Sus scrofa: one gene and its partners. Each later gene encodes a partner of the first gene's protein in a complex. Links are inferred from orthologs where the notes say so. Each region holds a gene or a part of one and is shown on either strand. Other genes may lie near its edges.

Region 1 (4,821 bases):
CTAAAAACTGCAGCGCATGATCAGTGGGTCCTCCCCAAAAGCACACTTATAAACAAGTAGGATGAAATAGGAGACGTCACTTTTTACAAGAATGTTTTTTATTTATACAAGGCATTATAATTTTCTCAATATCCTTCACTCATTTCTTGACAAACTTTTCACTGGATTCGTTTAACAAATGAACAGCATCAAACTATATTTCACTACCTGTCAACCTCCAAGCACTCAACTTAGAGACAAAAAGTGCTTGAAGCGCCAAATGGAAAGAAAATAAGGTTAACAGAGATACTTTAGAAGGGATGGCTTGGGGGAGGAATTGGATTCCTGAGCACCATCGGATTTCCCTTAACGTTCAGAGAGGTCTACAAAATCATTTTTAAAAGACATGAGATTAGAACTAGGGAATCAGAGGAACCCATAGTTTGAGATATTAAGCAGGTCATCAAAGTTCCTGGCAGAAGTGAAAAAAGGAGGGACAGAAAGTGGGAATGGGGAGCAGAGGAGAGGCAGAACAGAGACAGGAGAGAAGCACAGAGCAAGAACGTTGTACCTAGAAGAAAGAAAGTTTGGAATTCATCAGGAATTAGAAGAATGAAAAGCCATACCACAAATCCGGGAGCGGGACTACAAGAGAAAGCCTGGAGTTTTATACCTTCCAGGAGGTGACCACATACCCTAAAGCTGTACAATGGCAGGCAGTGAGGTGCATTCAAGACTACACCATCTGTTGTAAGACACATTGGCAATCTTGCTTGACTAATTCTACTCTACACTGCTGATGTAAATGCATTTGGTGCCCAGAAGGTAGCCACCCAAGCGGGTTACATGCCTACTGGCAATAGAGAAGGGCTCTAAGCCAAGTGGGTCTGTAAAAACCAAAATTCAGTTAATGTTACTGTCAAGTGAAGAGACAAAAGAACAGATTTCACTGTTCTACACCCTTTAGTGGTTTCCTAAAGCTAAGTCATTCTGATCACTTGTAAGAAGCTAGTATTGCCAAATACTGTACAAATAGGCTGTCTATAAGCAAAGCCCCAGGTTTTCCTGAGTCTTGACTGCTTCTGTGATTTGGAACGCAGTAGGTGGCATGGAAGCTTTGTTACTTTTTTGAGCCGTGGGTGAATGGGTGGGACCTGGGGATCAACAACTGCCTAACTATGTACGTAAGTAAACAAAAATGCTCCCAGTGACCAATTGGCTGTTCATAATCCCTCCTGCCAAAAAGTCATAACCTTCAGGCTCATGAAGCAAAACAAGATTCTGCTACTCAGATGCTCTGAATCTGGGACACGCTGGTTTTGATGATAATTTTAATCAGTTTTTACTTCCATCTTCTCAGGCTCTTCTGCCCAAGACTACTCTGTCCAGCAGGAAAAAGCTGCACACAAACGTTTCAGAGCTGTACCTTCCAAGGCGCCAGTCTCCCCATCCTCTTCAGTTGTCCACGTCCTCCTCTTCATTCTGTTCTTCTTCCTCCAGCCTTTCCTCATCTTCGTCGTTGTCCTCATCCCTGCTCTTGTCTTGCTCTTCTGAATCTGTTTTTTTGTCTTTGTCCTTCTTCTTTTGCTCTGAAGCTTCCTTCTTACCTTTCTGCTCCCTTCTATAAGCTGTAAGGATGAAGGAGGGAGTTGGGAGACAAGGCTGAACCAAACAGACTGCAGCCACTAATACCACTGCATAACTGGAAACACTGAGGCACAGAAGGAAAAATAACCTGCCCAGCATCACAAAACTGATATGAGGTAGTGCCATTTGAATCTCACCCAATACTTGCTTACTGGACCTAAAGGGACTCAAGCTAATGAAGACTTAGGGCCAAGTGAGCAGGTCATACAGGATGAACATCTACTTGGTTGAGTAAACGAAGAGGTCGTTACCTTCCAGAGCTTCTTTTAAGGGAGTAACGAACCGCTGAAACTCCATCTCCTCCATGGCTGAGAGAACATCGCTGGCATTCAGCGTCTTGCGTTTCCCTTTCATCGCGAAGTTGTTGGCGCTGAACAAGAAGATTAAGGGCTGTCAGAATCCTTCTTGGCCCGTATGCAGTGAGTGGGAAAAGGACGACCCAGAGGTGGAATGGAAATGCCCAAGTCTAAGATACATGGATTTTGGTGACACAGTAAGTCCCTCCCTTCCCTGTACAAAAGGGTAAGGCAAAGTTACTCTGTTTTATTTTGTTCCACAGCTTGCAATACCTGGATGAAGACTCTGAACCTCCCTCCACTGGGGAAGATCATAATTATTGGGGTTTGCGGGTTCTAGGCCGCGAACTCCGAACCAGGGGTGGGGGGGGTGTCTGCGTCTCCCTTAAGCCTCAGCCCCCAGCTAAGCTCTGGTTAGCTCTGCCCGCCTCACCAGGATGTGGCGTACAACACGAAGACGCTGGCGGCGCGGGAGATGGCGCTCCGGGCCTCCTTGGAGATGTTGACACCTTCCGGGAGCTGTGACAAGAGAGGGGGTGAGCAAAGCTACTGCCCCAGGACCTCTTTACCCTTGCCTGCTCGTCCGCCCCTGGCCCATCCGCCAGCCGGAGATGCTCACCGCCTCCTTGATGATCCTGGTGATGACGGCATTGGGCAGGTTTAGGTCCTCGGGCCTCTCCGCCATTGCCACGGCCGGAGCCGGCCTCCTCTTCAGGCCGCTACAGCGTCCGGACTTCCCGCGTCGCCACCGTCTGACCCAACGAGGCTTCCGTTCCGCCCCGTTTTGCCCACACCGTGTCCCACAGTGCCCCGCGCGCCATATCCTCCCTCCTCCCCCAGCCCCGCCTCCGACTGCAGTCGTCTGTTCATCTGAACTTTCCACGCCGCTAGTTTTAGCCCTAGGGGTTTCTATCAGGCCACAACGGCACCTGGCGCCCCTTCCCAAGCTCGCTTCCCTGCTTCACGCCACCACCTCGTCTGGAACTTGCTTAGCAAATTAAGTATGGCCTTCTGGGGCTTCCGTCCCTTTCCCATAGTGCTCTGCGCCGCTGCCTGGCAACGGTGCTGTCGGAGGCTGGCTTGGGAGACGAAGGCGTGGACTGAGCCGGCGGGGCGGGTCCCTTCGGAAGAGAGGCGGGACCTGGCGCTTGGCCCCGCTGCTGTCTTCACCGCGGGTTGAGGAGCAGCGTCTTCCTTGTAGGCTTCGGCTTCCTAGCCGCTTGGCCTCTGCTTTGGCTCCGCGGAAGCGCGGCCCTCCTTGGCCGGATTCTCCCACTTCCCTCTTCTGGAAGCAGGGAATCTTTATTGAACTCTCCAGGCCCTGATATCCCCTCTTAAATCTTTTCACCGCTCTCAACTTTGTAATAATGGTATTAAGGATAAGTGTTAACCTAAAATTTTTAATGCAGACTACTTTGTCAGTACAGTGTAGGGCTGGCAACAAAAAGATGGGCATGATTAGACCTTGGGGTTCACTTCGAGCTGGTCAGGTAACAAAAGGTCCATAAGCAGCCGGTTTTAAGAATAACATTCGCATTCAAAAACAAACCCTGTTAAACTTGTATTTATGTTTTAGTTCATTGACTTGATCATCGTTCATCTTTCCTAGTCAAAAGCATCAGCATGGTTTTACAATGGTCCCCCCCCCCCCCCCCGAGGGAGCGGTGGGGCGACCACTGCATATGGAAGTTCTCAGGCCAGGGATGGAACCTGCACCACAGCAGTGACTCAGGTGGGAGGTACCCTTAACACTCTGCGCCACAAGAGAAATACTGCATTGGCTTTTTAAGTTGTATCATTTTCATATTACGTAGTAGAAACTCTCCTCACTCCCACTGAACAGTTGTTTTCCTTGAAACCTGCTGCCTCAGGTCATGCTTAGTTTTCCTGTTTTTGATAGAAACATGAGTACAGAGAACTATTTCCCTATTATGAGAAAAACAACAGCAAATGCAGTGATAAATGGCAACTGAAACTCTTCTCTTAGAGAATATGGGGTTTGGTGGGGGAGGGCTCCACTTGACTAGAATACACATGGTTTAAAGATGTCAGGAGGTACACAGCTCCAGCCAGTGGCTGTCTAGTTGGAATTGGACCCCCCTTTGAGAGAACCCAGAAATCTGAACATTATGGGCTATTTCCATCTTTAAATAATGGCTCAAAGTGCAGGCCATACAAAACAAGTTATATGCCAGGTGCAATCCCAGGCCAGTAGTTTGCTATCTTTGGCTTATATTATAAACTCTTTAGAACTGGGACTTTTTTTGGTCATTATTGTTCTCTATGCCCATAACAGGTCCCTTCCCATATTTGGTGGTCAATAAATGTGTTGAGTAAAAGAAAGAGGAAATAGACACTTAAAAGTTTATTGCAGATAGGTGGTAGTGATTGTCTAAACATTTCTTTTTTTTTTTTTTTTGTCTTTTGTCTTTTTGTTGTTGTTGTTGTTGCTATTTCTTGGGCCGCTCCCGCGGCATATGGAGGTTCCCAGGCTAGGGGTTGAATCGGAGCTGTAGCCACCGGCCTACGCCAGAGCCACAGCAACGCAGGATCCGAGCCGAGTCTGCAACCTACACCACAGCTCACGGCAACGCCGGATCGTTAACCCACTGAGCAAGGGCAGGGACCGAACCCGCAACCTCATGGTTCCTAGTCGGATTCGTTAACCACTGCGCCACGACGGGAACTCCTTTCTTTTTTTTTTAGGATGACACCAGAGGCATATGGAGATTCCCAGGCTAGGGGTCCAGTCAGAGCTGTAGCTGCTGCCCTACACCACAGCTCACGGCAATGCAGATCCTTAACCCAGAGATCGAACCTGCAGCCTCATGGTTCCTAGTCGGATTCGTTTCCACTGTGCCATGATGGGAACTCCAGATTGTCTAAACATTTCTAAAGA
Region 2 (4,861 bases), on another chromosome or scaffold:
TGTAACTGAGCAGGACCCCGTGACGCCTTCCCAGAGTGGACCCCCACTCGTGCCCTCCACCTGCTTTTTTATCTACAGAGAAACTTTAGTCAAAGAATCAATTTAATCAGAGAAAGAAAATACAGAGAAAAAGGACAACAGTCAAGCAAGACAGAATAATAGTTTAGCCATTCAACAAAGTCAAAGACCTTTTAATGAATTGTCCTGCAAGGACTATAGATAATATTCTGAGCCATGTCCTTGGAGCTGTTTTGCAGGTGCTGAAGCCCCTACCAGGTGGAAGACTTCGACTGTATGCAGCCCACAAGAATATAGACCCCAGTCTGGTTGGAACCAGAAGGTTAATGACACTGACTCTTAATTATCTCACCACCCACTCATCAAGAAAATGCCCAGGAGCTGATCACGCCCTGCTCCTCAAACACTGTAAGACTCCTCACTACACCCTCCAAGGGAGTACAGGGGGGTCACAGTCCTTGAGTCACTAGCCTGCTGTGTTCCCTCTTTGACTGGCAATTAAAGCTACTTTCTCTGTTTCCTCCAACTCTACACCTTTCTGTTTGGCATTGTGTACAGAGGCAGCTGATATTTCCGGCAACAGTAAGGAGAAGGTGTCCAATAATCACCTTGGTGAGTAGGCAAGTAAGCAGAGCACGGTGACTGCTGGCTGCCTTGATTCTCACTTGAGACTAATGTCAAGACTCCTCTCCAATAAGAGCTTGGTGGGATGGGTGCTTTCTCATGTTCCTTCCGTCCTTGGGCTTTCCACACCAGCCCTGGGAGCCTATGTGTGATTCCTCTATTTTTTAGACTTCTCCTTACTCACTCATAGTCAATCCTGTTAGAGTAACTTTTTTTTTTTTTTTTTGTCTTTATGGGGCCGCACCTGTGGCATATGGAGGTTCCCAGGCTGGGGGTGGAATCAGAGCTATAGCCGCTGACCTACACCAGAGTCACAGCAACACCAGATCTGAGCCGTGTCTGCGACCCACACCACAGCTCATGGCAACGCTGGATCCTTAACTCACTGAGCAAGGCCAGGGATTGAACCTGTGTGTCCTCATGGGTGCTAGTCAGGTTTGTTTCTGCTGTGCCACGACGGGAACTCTTATAGTTTAACTTTTATGTTAAACTTTCTATTCAAATTACTTTCCCTGTTCAAACTCTGTGTAGTTTCCTTTTCCTAATTGGACTGTGATGCAGATGAGGTTTCGTCATGGGAAAGAGGGAAGAATTGTTGAAGCGATGCCCATCATTTACTTCTTTCCCCGCCTACATTTTTATTTCTCCTACTTTACTGTCTCCTCCAGGAGCATATACATTTGTCCAAGTTTCTCCTATATATTTCTATTACTGCTGTTTACTTTTACAATCAAGTTCTCAAAAGAGAGCTCAACTAGGTAGGACATCGCGTGAGATGCAAAGCAAACTGCAAAATCGGACCACCAGACCTCAGAAGCGCTGTGAGGGATAGAAAAGATTAAACGCCAGCCCTCCGCCTCTCTCACGGGATACTCCGCCACGCTGGCCGGTTGGGGGGGGGGCGGAGTCACGAGCCATCAGGGGGCGTGGCTGCCAGTGCGCGCGGGAAAGGGGCCGGCACCGCCTGCGCGCGCACAGTCGGCGGCCGCGCGCAGCACGCCCGGGGCCCGGATGGCGGCCGCGGTGGCGGCGGCAGCTGGAAGTGGGCCTGCCCGGGAAGAGGACAGCTCAGCTGGGGAGGCGGCGGCCCCGCAGCCCCAAGCCCCGACAAGTACGCCTGGGGCTCGTCTCTCGAGGCTACCTCTGGCGCGAGTGAAGGCCTTGGTGAAGGCGGACCCCGACGTGACGCTCGCGGGACAGGAAGCCATCTTCATCCTGGCACGAGCCGCGGTGCGGCGGGGAGCGCCTGGGTCACCTAGTGGGGCGGGGCGGGGCCTCGGGGGCCTTTCGGAAGGGCGGAGCTTAGCTGTATTTGGGGCCAAATTTGAGATGTGAGCGTGGGCAGTAAGAAGGCCATCTGGGGCAGGTTGTGCTGAGGCCCGAGAGGTTAGAGGGGTGCTGGGGCCGGATACTGAGTTGTGAGTATCGGGAGGGAAGACAGAGAAAGGGTCACATGCAGTACTTGTATTGGTTTCGTAGGACCTACCTCTTCCGCGACTTTGATTTGTGTCTCTAGTCTAACTTTATAACTTGTTTCAAGTAAGTGAGTGGGGTGAATCTTCAGAGTGAGGGAGGGACAGACGTGTCTGGACTACAGCAGGAGAGGGGAGGGGAATAGACTTTTATGAAGTCCAGGAGAAATTTCAGCTTCCCTGAGAACCTCCCCGTGCATCTGTGCCCTCTTCCACCCTTGGCCCCCACTCAAACAGGAACAAGCATTTGCACTAGAACTCGTGGATACAACTTTGCTTATTTTCTTTTTTCTTTTCTTTTAATTTTGGTTTGTTTATTACAATTTTTACTTTTTTCCCCTTCTGCTTTTCTTAATAGGAACTGTTTGTGGAGACCATTGCAAAGGATGCCTACTGCTGTGCTCAACAGGGAAAGAGGAAAACCCTTCAGAGGAGAGATTTGGGTAGACTGTCACTTTGGTGTCTTGCATCTGTGGGTACACAAGGGAGGGCTGGGCGAGACTCTCCTTACACTAGTTGAGAAGGCATCACTTTAAGATGAGGGACACCACAGGTCTCTTCCTATGATGTTTTCTGTTGAACTGTCACTGTGCCAGAAGATCGTGCCTCTCGAATGTCTGTTTTGGTTGGCTGGAGTGGTGTTGGGACAGAGAACCAAAAGGAGCCTGGATGTTGCCAAAGCTAACTAGACCCCTTTATTCCTTCTGCTATATTGTACCAGGCTTGTCGTTTTTTTTTTTTTTTTTTTTCCACCTAGAAAGGATAGGTTTGATTTCTGACTCTACTTTTTTCTACTCTAGAATGTGTGTAAATTTTCGTATACCACAATCTCACTTTCCTTGCTCTATAGCCAGACTCTCTTCTCTGATGACTTTCAGAGGAAAGAGGTTCCCCCCAGGGAACAGTATTTACCTAGGCTGTAGAGAGACAGCTGATACGTAGTATTTGGTGGTGGAGAAGATGTAGATCTCAAGATAGCAAGGGACAAATTTTATAAATGCTTATTTGCATAAAGCCTCAGGCCCTTCATTGTGTGTGTTGTGCTCTTGTAAGAGGTTTGATGCCTGTGTCCACAGTTAATCAGGTGTCCCTTTACCTTGTGTTTCAGATAATGCAATAGAAGCTGTGGACGAATTTGCTTTCCTGGAAGGTGAGTTCTCTATCAGGGGGTAGTCCTTTCCACTTGCCTTCTTTCCTTCCTCCTTCCTTCCCTCCTTAATCTCCTTCCCTCTTTATCCCCTTCCCTTCTTTCCTTCCTTTCTTCTTCTTCTTCTTCTTTTCTTTTTTTTAATGGCCACAGCCATGGCATATGGAAGGGATATGGGATTGAATCCAAGCCTCAGCTGTGACCTGCACTGCAGCTGCAGCAAAGCAGGATGCTTTAACCCACTACACCAGACCCAGGGATCTAACCAGCACCTGGGCAGCAACCAGAGCTGATGCAGATTCGTAACTCACTCTGCCACAGCAGGAACGCCTCCACTTGTCTTTCTCATGCTAAAATCTGAGTTCAAAACCTTATGAAATTGATGCCTGGTTCTTCCTTGTTCATGTAGGAGTAATTCTATTTCCTGTTAAGATAGGAAACACAAATTACAATTCAAATTCCTTTGGGTAATTAGAACTTTATGAAAACTGCTAACCATGAACAGTGGGAGGGACTGGAAAGACCCCAGTGGAGTTGGGGGATTTTCAGAAGTTTGTTTCTGACTTTGAGCCCCATCTCTAGATATAAATCTTACCCCTTATCATAATGCTAGAGATCAGAAACAATTGCCAACGTTTAAAGGGTTACCTCTTGTTCTTTTTTCTTCTTCAACAATCTCTCTAAAGTGATGATTTTGCCGCAGTGAGATTCTCTACTGGCCTGTATCTGTTTGTTCTTAAGAATCTTGGATTAACTCATGTGTACTAATTAAATCTTGTCATTGAAATAGAAAATATCTGAAATACCTCATTTTAACTCTCTTTACCTAGAGCTCTCTTCCTGCTGCCCCTAAATCTGATCAGTTTACTCTTCCCTGCATATAGATTGATTGAATAGTTTTGGAAAAGCCATGTACCTTTAGTTTCTCACTTTTAACGACCAGGGTTCTGTTTACCTCCTCAAAGCCTTAATACCTTCACATATCTTTTCTTGAATTTTTTTTTTTAAAGGCTGCACCTGAGGCATATGGAAGTTGCTGGGCTAGGAGTCAAATTAGAGCTGCAGCTGCCCTCGTATGCCACAACCACAGCAACACTGGATCTGAGCTGTGACTGGGACCTACACCACAGCTCACCACAATTGCCAGATCCTTAACCCACTGAGCAAGGCCAGGGACTGAAGCTGCATCCTTGTGGATACTAGTCAGGTTCTTAACCTGCTGAGCCACAGCAGGAACTCATCTTTCCTTGAAGTATTTATTTCACTATTTTTACTCCTTGGTTCTGCATCTATAATCAACTGAGGTCTCTGGCCCTTTTGAGATATTCTTTTAAATGCCTTTTAAGGTACATTCCCATGGTTAGCATTAAGCTTAGATTATTGATTATTCTCTTAATTTGTAGATTTTCTTTTTAAAGCCTCTTTTATGCTTAACTAATTTTTTTTTGGAAATAACTTATTAGCTCCCTACCTAAGGTAGGCAATGTCTTGTGACTGACAGCCTGTCAGTTCCTCAATCAAAAATGTTTGGAGCTTATTCTACCTGTTTATATTTTAATTTTAATTTTTTTTTTTTTGGCTACACCTTTGCCATATGGAA
Region 3 (4,508 bases), on another chromosome or scaffold:
ATCCCTGGTCTTGCTCAGTGGGTTAAGGATCTGGCATTGCCATGAGCTGTGGTGTAGGTTGAAGATGAGGCTGGATCCCGAGTTGCTGTGGCTGTGGTGTAGGCTGGCAGCTGCAGCTCTGATTTGACCCCTAGCCTGGGAACTTCCGCATGCTTCAGGTGTGGCCCTAAAATGACAAAAAAAAAAAAAAAAAGGAAAGAAAAATACACTATGCAGAAGTACTATTTCTTATTGTATCTGACTTAATAATTTCGCTTAAAATTTTTCTTCAGGAATAAATGTAAGAGAAAGTGCTTATTTTTATATTTCACAAATGTCTCAGAATAACCAAGGCATTAGAATAATAAAGGGTTTTAATAAAACTAGTTCCATAAAACACTTTACTGTAAAAAGTCTAGCTTTTAATTTAAAAAGTTATTTCTTTACAGTTTAAAAAAATGCAATATTTGAACAAATACAATGCCAAACAAATTTTCTTGAAATACAAAAATTCAGATGTAACATACTACCCATAGACCACGTATTTTAGCTAAAACCGGATCTGGCTGTTTACAAAAACTAATTTCAAAATATACACATGTGAATTTATACAACTGATATTTAGAAGTTCTTCAAAATCTATCTGTAAGCTACAAAGCTAAGCAAAGCTGCCTTGGCCTCAACGGCTTAGAGCTGCAGACTGGCTGTGACCCCAGCTCGAAGCCCCTTGTTTGGACCCCCACTCCGGTTGCAGCGTGGGCCTGGGAAAGAGACGCTCTGCTTTGGGCTATTTACAGCAGAGGCACCTCACGCCCCATCTCAGCCAGGAAGGAACGTGGTGTCCCTGGGGTGTCTCGAGAGTGAGCAGACGCTTGCTCAGAGCAAAGGTGTTCATCCCGGAGCCGTGCTCCCCGGCCGGTCACTAACGCATTTCTTTTTGGCTTAGGATTCCGCTTCATCATCACTCTCATCGTCGTCGTCGTCATTCTCCTCCTCTTCTCCCCTCTTCTCTTTAAGCATTTTCAGATATTTACTAGCTAAAATCTTCTTTGGTAATATGTCTTAAAAAACATAAAGCTAGCATCAGTAATGTAAATTTCAAAATGTCCCAGTTCCTGCTTTGACCTCTAAACAGGTTCCAAGACAAAACAAAGTTCAGACGACAATTCTGGGTAAACAGCAGGAAACTAGCCCTGCAAACCTGCCTCCCTTCCACTGAAGCAAACCGCGTGCTTCTGGGTGCTGGTGCCCACGGCTCAACCCAGCCCGCACAGGGTGGCTGCCCCAAGGATCCCCGTGAGCTCTTGTTAGCTGTGACCCACAGCTACTGCTGCACAACAACTCTGAGTTTCTGTTTCCTGGACCAATTAAGGAGGCGTCAGGGAAGGGCTGCCACGCCCCAGCCAACAAACACCCTGTAGGGAGAGTGCTGGCTTCTTGGTCCAGGTGAATCACATTACAAACATACTCAAACGGCCAAAACTAAGACTCATGCCAGGTCGTGGGAAACTCTGGCACCTAGAGAAAACAGCCAAGTGTCTATTTCAGCGCAAGAAGAAAAAAGAGCAGAGAAAAAAGCGTAAATTGCTAAGCATTTTTTTTAAGCAGAATGTTTGAAAGTCTAAATACCTGCAAGAAACTGAAAAGTTTCCGACTCTTCTGCAGTGTTTGATAAATCACTGTAAGTGAGAGCTTTCTTTTCTCTTCCACTGCCATGTCGGTAGGAATAGGTGGCTAGATACTGAACAAAGAGTTCCTAAAACAAAATGAAAAACGAAAGGTGTGCTTTGAAAACTTACAGACCTTCATTTTTAATTACACTCATTTCGATGACTGCAGATTATCTCGGTTTCCCAAATTACAGAAAATCACGCGAGAAAGGACTACGCGGTCAGAAAGGAAACAAAGGCTGAATTAAGTTGTCAGGGAAGCAGGCGTCTCCCTAAAGTTTACTTTAGATTTATAACTTATGAAAAATAATCAAAAGTGATTCAACAATGAGTCATATTTAATGACGAACCTCTGGAGTTAAAAAGGGCAAGAGACCATTCAAAAATTCGGTGTGGCTGAGGAACACACTTCCGTTTGAACACAGTGTTTCCAGGCTGTCCGCCTACAACCGTTACGGTCAACAACCTAAAGGTAAAAAAACGATCAGCTTCCCTTTCTGCCCAGACTGAGCCCTGGGCTGAGCCTCTGGGAATTTCTATTTTAAATCCACCTAGTTCCGTTAGTAAGGGATGGAAGAAGTGCTTGCGAAACTCCTCAATTCCTTAACACCTACAGAACGAAGCTGGACCCGAAAGCACAACTATCCCAAGACCACGTGACCTCCCACCGCCCTCACCCTGACCGTAGGGACACCGGACACTGGGCGCAACCAGCAGGGGCCGGAAGCCACTCTAGGGAACGTGAAAGCGAGGGAAACCGTGCAGCTGAAACCTGGCCCTGGGCAAGAACGCCCACCACGCGCCAAATCAAAAGACCGGGGAGGGGCTAGCACCTCCGGCTGTAAAACCACGGCCCTGGAAAGGCTAATTCTGACCTGGGGACGTGCGGCCCCGAAGACTGGGAGGAAGGCGCGGGCCCGTTCGCTCAACCGTCCGAGGGGTGGAGCCCAAAGCCACGAAAGCGGAAGCGGCCGGAAGCGACAAGAGGGGAGGGATTGGGGTTGGGGGCCGACAACTCGGGAGGAGGAGACGCCGAAGGAGGGGGGGTGGGCGGGGCGCTGGGCGCGCGGGGGAGGCCGGGAACGGAGTGGGCGGGGCGAGGGCGCGCGGGGTAAGACGGGATTGACGCCCGGGGGCGGGGCGAAGGGCGCGCGGGAGCTGGGGAGCGCGCGGCGGAAGGCAGCGAGGCCGCGCCCAGGAGAGCGCGCGGGCGCGCGCAGGGGAGCGGGCGGCGCGCGGGCCGAGGGGTACTGGGCAGCGCGGCGGGACTCGGCCGGGCTCGGAGGGCGGGGCGGGACGCAACGGTCCCGGGCGGCCCCCACTGTCGCCCTCCGCTTCTCACTCCTCCCCGCGCGGTCCGCCTCACCGTGGCCTTGGCCGTGAGCACCAGCGCCTCCTGGTTGATGCTGGACACCTCGGGGGAGCTCTTCATGATGACCCGGATGCGGGACAGGGGCAGCGACACCAGCCGAGGCTCCCCGCACTTGTCCTTGCCCGCGACCCCGTCCGCCATCTCTGCGCCCCGCCCCCGCGGCGGCAGCCCCGACCCGCCGCGAGGTGGCCGGCCCGCTCGGTTGGTGCGGGAGCGGCGTCCCGCTGCCCCGTGGGAGTTGTAGTGTCGGGAGGCGCGGCCCCGGGCGCGGACTACAAGCCCCGTGATGCCGCGCGCGGACGAGGCGGAAGGAAGGGCGGCTGGGCCGGGGGCGGGGGCCGGGGAGGCGTCTCCCTGAAGGTCGAGGCAGATACCGTGTAGGCAGGAGAGGACTGGGAACCGCGGGGGGAAGGGAGGGGGCTGGGCAGTGAGGAGCGCGGACGGCCCTGTTGATGAGAAGGCGCTTTGCTGGGAAGAGGAGCAGCAGCAACGGCGCGGAGGGAGGAGCCTTTCCGGAAAGCTCGGGAGGCGCGCTCTGCGCCCGGGGTGTGCGGGATGAAGGCGGAGAGGCGGCCTGGGGCCGGGTCCTATTGGATTGTAGAAGAAGGAAAATGGGGGTTCCCGTCGTGGCGCAGCGGAAGCAAATCCGACTAGGAACCGGGAGGTTGAGGGTTTAATCCCTGGCCTCACTCGGTTAAGGACCCGGCGTTGCCGTGAGCTGTGGTGTAGGTCGCAGACGCGGCTCGGATCCTGCATTGCTGTGGCTGTGGTGTAGGCTGGCGGCTACGGTTCCGATTGGACCCCTAGCTTGGGAACCTCCATACGCCCCGCGGGTGTGGCCCTAAAAAACAAAATAATAATAAGGAAAATGGGAAGTGCTGAAAGAGATCAGAGGGATGAGGGGATATGTCTCTTAAGTTGGGGGGGGGCTTTTGTTTGTCTTTTTAGGACCTCACCTGGGGCATATGGAAGTTCCCAGGCTAGGGGTCAAATCGGAGCTGTAGCTGCCGGCCTGCACCACAGCAACATGGGATCCTTAACTCACTGAGCCAGGCCAGGGCTGGAACCCGCGTCCTTTTGGGTGCTAGTCAGATTCGTTTCAGCTGAGCCGCGTCGGGACCTCCCGTCTTAAATTTTATTAAAAATCCCCCTGGCTATTGATGGAGAATAGACCGGAGGGGAGTGGTGAGGATGGGGAGGTTGAAAGGGTGGAAGCAAAGAAATTGCAGAGTAGAAGGTGATGGCAGGTGATGAAATGGGATGCAGGTGTGGCTGGGGTGAAGTGAGCTAGGGAACGGATGATAGGAAGTAGCCATGGGCCAGATGAGATAGGGCTTTGTAGATCACAGAATTCCTTCCAAAAGGGTTGGGGGGAGTAAGGGGGTCCCCCTTCAGTTTTACAAGGAATCCTCAAGTTGCTGTGTGTGAATAGATCGTCCAGGGGCAGGAGCGGAAGCAGGCAGAGAGCACAGTTAGGAAGCGGTTCC

What was found. The genes of interacting proteins can lie anywhere in the genome.
Region 2: POLE3 (region 1) and POLE4 share a complex: the UniProt entries of both Homo sapiens proteins name them as parts of the DNA polymerase epsilon complex. The link is inferred for Sus scrofa from reciprocal best matches to the Homo sapiens genes POLE3 and POLE4.
Region 3: POLE3 (region 1) and CHRAC1 share a complex: the UniProt entries of both Homo sapiens proteins name them as parts of the CHRAC ISWI chromatin remodeling complex. The link is inferred for Sus scrofa from reciprocal best matches to the Homo sapiens genes POLE3 and CHRAC1.

The regions. Positions count from the first base shown.
Region 1 is NC_010443.5:254,033,298-254,038,118, forward strand, and holds POLE3 (DNA polymerase epsilon subunit 3), read right to left. Parts: upstream 2,928-4,821; 5' UTR 2,608-2,927; coding exon 2,542-2,607; intron 2,442-2,541; coding exon 2,356-2,441; intron 1,997-2,355; coding exon 1,878-1,996; intron 1,608-1,877; coding exon 1,435-1,607; 3' UTR 81-1,434; downstream 1-80. UniProt on the Homo sapiens protein: Accessory component of the DNA polymerase epsilon complex. Participates in DNA repair and in chromosomal DNA replication.
Region 2 is NC_010445.4:68,114,045-68,118,905, reverse strand, and holds the start of POLE4 (DNA polymerase epsilon subunit 4), read left to right. Parts: upstream 1-1,597; 5' UTR 1,598-1,653; coding exon 1,654-1,872; intron 1,873-2,472; coding exon 2,473-2,557; intron 2,558-3,222; coding exon 3,223-3,264; intron 3,265-4,861. UniProt on the Homo sapiens protein: Accessory component of the DNA polymerase epsilon complex. Participates in DNA repair and in chromosomal DNA replication.
Region 3 is NC_010446.5:3,025,545-3,030,052, forward strand, and holds the start of CHRAC1 (chromatin accessibility complex protein 1), read right to left. Parts: upstream 3,265-4,508; 5' UTR 3,163-3,264; coding exon 3,016-3,162; intron 2,678-3,015; exon of another isoform or gene 2,525-2,677; intron 1,736-2,524; coding exon 1,609-1,735; intron 1,041-1,608; coding exon 922-1,040; 3' UTR 1-921. UniProt on the Homo sapiens protein: Forms a complex with DNA polymerase epsilon subunit POLE3 and binds naked DNA, which is then incorporated into chromatin, aided by the nucleosome remodeling activity of ISWI/SNF2H and ACF1.